Linked DNA regions of Schizosaccharomyces pombe. The protein of the gene in region 1 purifies or fractionates together with the protein of each later gene. This does not show direct contact. Each region holds a gene or a part of one and is shown in the gene's direction. Other genes may lie near its edges.

Evidence for each region. Proteins that work in one complex are often made in the same cells at the same time.
Region 2: the proteins of fnp1 (region 1) and cam1 purify together in Schizosaccharomyces pombe (co-purification; one study listed by BioGRID). This does not show direct contact.

What each region holds. Positions count from the first base shown.
Region 1 is NC_003424.3:4,640,318-4,644,284, forward strand, and holds the start of fnp1 (folliculin complex subunit fnp1), read left to right. Parts: upstream 1-1,989; 5' UTR 1,990-2,177; coding exon 2,178-3,967. Other genes in the region: cornichon family protein Erv14, read left to right, coding at 1-48, 130-160; GTPase dml1, read right to left, coding at 425-1,822.
Region 2 is NC_003424.3:1,443,264-1,446,833, forward strand, and holds cam1 (calmodulin Cam1), read left to right. Parts: upstream 1-1,586; 5' UTR 1,587-1,666; coding exon 1,667-1,669; intron 1,670-1,795; coding exon 1,796-2,245; 3' UTR 2,246-3,070; downstream 3,071-3,570. Other genes in the region: GARP complex subunit Vps53, read left to right, coding at 3,440-3,570. UniProt on the Schizosaccharomyces pombe protein: Calmodulin mediates the control of a large number of enzymes, ion channels and other proteins by Ca(2+). Among the enzymes to be stimulated by the calmodulin-Ca(2+) complex are a number of protein kinases and phosphatases.

The sequences.
Region 1 (3,967 bases):
TATTAAAGTTACCTTTTATCTTATAATGTTTTTTACTTTACTTTACTGGTAAGTTTTCGCTATTCTTTGGAGCAAATGCTCTTGTTGTTTTAGCGGCACTATTTTTTATAATGTACTAACGGATAATAGTATGGTCATGTCCTTAATTCAAGAAGAATAATGTTAAAAATCTTGGAGAGGAAATTCTAAAGCCAATGCAAAAAAAAAGGATACTGTTTTCTTTCTTAATAGTTACATGATTGAATGACATTAATTATTAGACATTAGGTAATGAACTTTCGACTACTTCGTTGCAAACAGCTGATAATGAGGGAAAAGCTCATTTAGTCAAGCTTATTAGAAATTTTCTCAAGTAATCATTGGACTGTAAAAGTATTTGGAAATTTCATACTTTGAACTATTCGCCCAACGTATTCCTTGATTTCTAAATAATATATGAAGATAATATTTCTCTTATTTCTTCAAGTTCATCTTGATCAACAAATGAAACAAAGCGACGATTCAAAGATTTTGTAAGACCTTGAATGTGTGAATTAATTTGACCGTCATTCGTAGCTTCCACAAAAACAGTATCCAATGTGCGCAACCCTTCTGGAACTGTCTCTAAGCTCGGCAATCCTAAATTTTGTATGTTTACTATTTTCGATATGCTACTTGCGTTATAATTTTTTCCTTCTAGTAATCCTTGATTATCTTTGGGGCTGCGTACGACTCCAAATAAACAATTGTTTTGCTGACTGTAATCTTGAGCAACATTAACAAAGGAGGCACTACTCACTAGTGCCCATTCTTTAGACGAGTAATTTTTTGCTTTAAAGTTCAAATTATGGATAAAACCTCTTCCTTCTGATTGTAGCTTTGATTCGATATCTTTCATTCTGTAGCAGGAAGACCCGTAAACCCTTGTGGGCAATGTAAAGGACTCAATAGCCAAATTAATTTTTGCGGAGGAAGCCCAAAGGTCATCACCTTGTGATATTGTACACAAAGGGAAGTACTGAGAACAAGATCCGTTGAGCTGAGATAACGAAAGTGCTTCATTTAGTTTTCCGAAATGATTATCAATAGTTGCGGATGAATCTGACTGAATCGGCTCTCGAATCCCATAGACCCAAGTGGGAACACGACATTCTCCTAGCTCATCTTGAACTACTTTCATGTATTCGCTCGCAAATCCACCCCACGGAGTGTCTATGTCTATTGCTGCTTGAAACCCTTGGACGCTATCACATTCTTCAACAAGCGGCCTCAATCCTTCATCCCATACATTGAATTGCTTATCAAAATCATGAAACCTTTCTACACCGAGTTGAAATGAAAAGTCCGATGAATTCAGTTCCGAACAGTTTACTGGAAATAAATACTCAGTATCTAAAAATAACCGATTGAAATCTGACCAATATTTAACGCTTTTTGGACGAATAGAAGGAAGTTCATATTCTGATTCTATTGCGTTTCCCTCATGGATCTCATCTCGACTCCAAAGTGCTTCTTGGTACGGATGCACATCGACTGGAGTCTGCATAATCTGCGTGAGTTTACCATCCCATGCTGTACCTTTTCCTCCTGATGACTCATTTAACTCCTCTAACCAGTTTTTTCTAGTATTTCCAAACTCAATTGGAGTATCATATATGCACTCACGAGGAACCGTAACAATAGCTTCTGGATCACGCTTTTTCAGTACACGGAAATTGGTGTTTACATTAACCTTTGCATGATCGTTCGGATCGTATACAAAATAAGACTCTTGAGTGTTCCAAAAATGCGTCCAACAGAAGTTGCTCTTTCTTCCAAATGTAACTGTTAATATTTCATGCATCGAATATGCAAATGCCTAATAGATTGTTAAATGTATTTTGTAAAAAATGTATATACATGTATTTTCTAAATATCTAAACAATACTTGAGATAGATTTCGTAACCATAACCCTAGTTATTAGAAAATTGGTGTGAGTTAGTTATACCGTTACTAGCTTCTGTCTACCTAACCAACGCCAGTGAGAAACTGCTGCTGGGGAATGTCAAACTAACGTAAGAGTGAAGTTTCAGTACATGCTACTGTTATTTCTAAGCATCCTTTTTTAATTTTGCAATTCAAAGCTTTGTTTTCTGTGTAGAAGCATAGCATAAAGACTGAACCTGTAGAAATTAGTTACCGCGTAATGCGTTCTTAGATGCTTCATTTTTTATTTCATTCAGGATCTTCATCAAATAGAAACTCATCGCCGAAAGAATCCTATGAGCTTCTTCATGGTTTGGACAAACAATATCAAAGTACTAAGGATGTAACGTTTCGTCTTGTCCTCGTTCAAGACATCGGAGACCGAAAAAAAACTGTTTTGTTTGACTCTAATCATGTGGATGGTCAGAAAGGAGATAGTGTGCTTAGGGACTCGGCAAATGCTCCACTTACTGATCTGATGTTTGGAGCAATTCCTATCTCCCATAAAGGAACTACCACAAAGTTGCATATTCTTCATCCCCCTAATCCTGCCACAAGGTCTTATATGCTTACTCAATTATTTCAAATCAACACACATGGTACAGTAGTCAATTCTAGTCACGAAACGATTGCATCTGCTACTTCATTATTTGAAAATAGTAGTTCGAACTTTTCTGAAGACCCTAATAAACCCAACTCAAGCGATGCCTTTGAATCGAATAAAGAAGACAGTCCATTATTAAAGTCTTTTAATGATAGCGCTATCCCTGAGAATGCAGCAAATTTATCTTCTTCTTCTAAAAACATGAAAGATTCTACTTTAAGCAGTCAAAAAGCTCGTTCGAATACAAGTTCTTCCTTTTTAACACCTTTGCATGAGCAACTGGAAAGTCGCTGTGCCTTACATACAGCTGCTAAGGATCCTTTTCGATCTAAAAATTCGCTCCGGTGTAACAGGGGGCATTCCCCTCTTTCCTCCCAACAAATTTTGCCTGCAATTTCAAACAATACCTCAGAAAAGCCTGATTCCAATAATTGTGGTTTTCTTCTTCCTTCAAACTCAACATCAATAAAGGATTTAAAAAACGTAAAGAAAGGAAACAGGTTAAATAGTCCTCCGTTTATTACTATTCCTCAATCCATCAAAAACACGAATTCTAATTTTCTGCTTTCTTCACCTTCACTTTTTAGCGATACTCGCACTCGTCCAGCTTCGTATGCTTTAGCTCTTATCATTACTGTACCTTATGAATATGACGAAATTGTTCATCCTGTCAGTACTTATTATACTATGCTATCAAATTTTACGCTTTCTTTGCAGAAAGAAATAGATGAACGAATTCGCAATCTTTTGTTTGTTTCACTTAGCAGTGGGGGGGATAACAAAAATGATACAGGAATTCCATTAATTCAGTCTTCATCCTCAAAAGTAGGTTTCGGACCATATGCTCTTAGCAAAGATTTGATTACAGCTAAGAGTTTCCACAAATGCATATTGTTACTGAAAACTGGGTTTTCGGCACCATTGATTAAGCCTTCAGTATTTAGTGGCAGCAAATGGGTGGAAAACATGCGATTGTTAACCGACTTGTGTAAATCTCCAGCCCAGAAGTGCTTGTTTAGCAATTTACTAACAGCTACTCGAAAATTCTGTTTGGAACGCCAAAAAGATGATGTTACTTTTAAAGTGTTATTACAGTCTAGCAAAGCACCAATAGCTCGACGTTTTTTATATCTACTAGCTCCATTAATGCGACCGTCAATTGCGCAATGTTCCGATACGCTTCTTAATCCTATTCAATTATATCCCAACTCTGGAATACTCTCATCATCTAGTCTTTCTACTTCATTTGGTTGTCCTTCTGTCTCTGGCTCTTTACGAGTACCTTCCTATGATATGAAGATAAATGATTCTTGCAAAGCTATAGATATTCATTCAGAGAAACCATCGTTTGCTGATTCTCCTAGGAAAACGTCATTACGAAATTATTTGAGTAGCAGCTGGCGATTAAAATTTATGCG
Region 2 (3,570 bases), 3.2 Mb from region 1:
AACAATAAATACTTTAAATTCTCGATCATTCTTATTATTTTATTTTTTATATGTTTATTTTTATTTTTATTTTTTTATTTTTTTTCTATGAAGGATATGAGTACCTCGAATTATTAAAAGTTAAACTTCCCATTTCACAGCATTTTATTAAATCAATTGAGATTTATAAATTTGAATCTTTTAAGGAATTATACTCAAATTTTCATGGTCATTCTGTAGAGATGTCTTTAAACAGGAAGTGCAAAAATTTAAAATTATGAGAATAAACTATAAAATCTTTAAAAACAAAAGACGTCTAAATTTATGATTATTAAAGACAAAAAAATGCTCAATTTGAATTTATTTTTTTATTTTTTTTTGTGTTACATCAATAACAACAAATATTGTTTATTCGATTAAAATATCCGTTCAGACTAAAATCAATAAATTCGGCTACGGTCATTGTATCAGATGTTGAGGTTCTGGATTTTTATACATTGAATAAATCATTTAGAAAAGAATTAATATCGAAATATATACAGGCAATGAAATCCTGCTTGAATAATATATTGTTATTTACTTTTTCAGTTTTCCTTCTTCATTTGAGTGTTCAACTAGAAAAATTATCAGATCAAAATTGGCATATACAAAAAATACAAAAGCAGATTATGCTACACAACAAAAATGCAATTCATAATAAACGTGCAAAAAAACCTTTTAATGAACTGCACTTATCAAAAATGCTTTTGTTTAGCAAATTTTTCAAAGCTATGTCATTTTGCTCAATTATTTGGAGACTTTAAACCGTGACAGTGTTTGTAAATCTGCTCAATAATTAATTTTCCATAAATCAAAATGAAAACAATATTTTCATATCATGAATAATAATATCACTAACTCAACCTCATAGAGGAAAGTGAAAAACACGATTTTCTGTTTACATTCAGCAAAAAATTGCGCTGTAATAACCATTTCCAAATACTGCATTTACAAATATTTTTTGTTAAATCCTTTTGCGATTTAAACATCGAGTACGATATATAAGTTGAATGTCGACAACGTTCCGTTGCGCTATAGCATACTACGTTGTGTATCACTAATTATCACATGTTTGATTTGCTCTGTCAAGCTGTACATGATAAGTTACTTAGGTAGATTACTAAGAGTTATAAAATGAATAACAAAAAAAATAATAGAATGCTTAAATTTTATGAATTGAAATAAACAAAACCTCGTTTCTCTATTCACTTTTATGCTAATTCGGTGATAGGTAACAATATAACCTCTATATCAGAATATCATTCTAAGTTACTAAATGTATTTACCTGTGTACCATAATACAATAGGTCACAAGTAAACCACACGGCAGTTCTAGGTGTCGTTAAATAGATACCAATAAATGCGTAGCTGACATTGAAAAAGTTCCTTCATCCGCCGTTTAGTGGTTTTAGTGCGGTTTATAGCAAGTACGTTACTGGTTTGTTAGAGCATATACGATAATGTAATAAACTCTCATTGTTTGTTGACATCACTGTTGATGGTAGGACTTGCAACATTAGGAAGCGACAACGGTAGTCCTCATTTCTCCAAGGCACTTTAACGTAACTAGAGCAAAACACTAACCGCCAAAAATAAAGGTTAAAAAAAGGAATAGAAGGACTTTAGAGTTACTGATTTTTACCAGAAAATGGTATGTTTATTATATTGTTTGGACATATTCCGATTTTTCCTTTGAAGATTGACTAACAATCGTATGAACGGATGACACTCAGAAAATGATTTCTGAAGTCGTCTACCGTATCGTACATTATTACAGACTACCCGTAACCTTACAGATGAGCAGATTGCAGAATTCCGTGAAGCCTTTTCACTGTTTGATCGTGATCAGGATGGAAATATCACGTCCAATGAATTGGGTGTAGTTATGAGATCGTTAGGTCAATCGCCTACTGCCGCCGAATTACAAGATATGATTAATGAGGTCGATGCCGATGGTAATGGCACAATTGATTTTACCGAATTTTTGACTATGATGGCCCGAAAAATGAAGGATACCGACAACGAAGAGGAAGTTCGCGAAGCCTTTAAAGTCTTCGATAAAGATGGAAATGGATACATTACAGTCGAGGAGTTGACTCATGTGCTTACAAGTCTTGGTGAACGTTTGTCTCAAGAAGAAGTAGCCGATATGATACGTGAAGCCGACACCGATGGCGATGGTGTAATCAACTACGAAGAATTCTCTCGTGTCATTTCTTCCAAGTAGAAGGGTTGGAATTTCTGTGGAATATTTGTAAGCCTTAAAAAAATCAAAATATCCTTGCTGGGGTTTCCACCCTTTTAGTTCTTCTTTATAACCACTCTCCATCGCAATTTGGACAATCTCTTTACCAACTTAACCTCGGCTATTGTCCTTTACTTTTTTTTTCGTCTATGATTTTGAAAAACATTAGTTAGTGTATTACAACGTTTTGGTTGTTTATTTTGCTGGCCTAGGTGTGTCACAAAAGTAACTATGGTAGCATTTGTTGTTACCATTCATCTCATGATCGATCCTATGAATTTTAACGCTTCCTTTGTTTCAACACATAAAGGAATCCTTAAGTCTGGGAACATATACGTTATTGCTATGAGAATACCACGCACTTTTGCATTATTGCATCCTACAATGAATTATTAGAAGCTTCATCTGTCTGTTATATGATGCATTTGCTCGTACTAGTATGTGCCTAGTACTCGCTGTATACGTTGCATTTATGTCCTTGCAATTCCCATGCCCATTATTTAGCTCAATCTTCCTTTTCTTTTTTCCTTCAAGATTTACTGTTCATTATACTAGTCGATGTTAAAATTTTTAGCATTTTTCTAGTTATATGCACTTCTTGAAGCCGTTTTCTCACTCTGGTAGATATACGCTTTGTTTTGTACTTAATACATTACTTTATACAAATACATCTCTCAGTATGAAATTTTGTGCGGCACTTGTCGAAGCTAAGCTATACGTATTAACTAAACATAAATTCATAAATGACATCGTTTATTTTCTTTTTGCATTTCACGTAGTTATTCCGATCGTAAACAGAAATTCATCATTGGAATATGGACATTTCCTAAGAAGGAAGGCTCTGCGCCGGTAAAGTTCAAGTTAGTGAAGTTAAAACTTATCTAAAATTCAACATCATGGTACATATATATTCAAAAAGTTTTTACAAAGTTATCAGTTCTAAACCTCAATGTCCTCCTACTTGCTATTCAAGCCAACCTAACTTCCTCTCACCATCAACCACCCGCTATATGGTTTCGTATATCCCTTCGCCGTCGAAAACTTGTACCTAACTATACGAAATTTTCTTCTTTAAAATTGCCAAAAAAAAAGCTTCGAGTTCTATACTGCGCTGTATTACATAACACTTTGGAATCAAGGGTTAGCAATTACCATAACTAAATTAATTATAGCTCTATGTCGAATGGAAATGATAATTCTCTAATTATCAAAAATATTGGGAATAATGAATTTAAATTTGTAGAAACGCTTCACGAATTATTACCAGAAGATATCACTTATGATGATTTGGGTTCATTACGACTAAG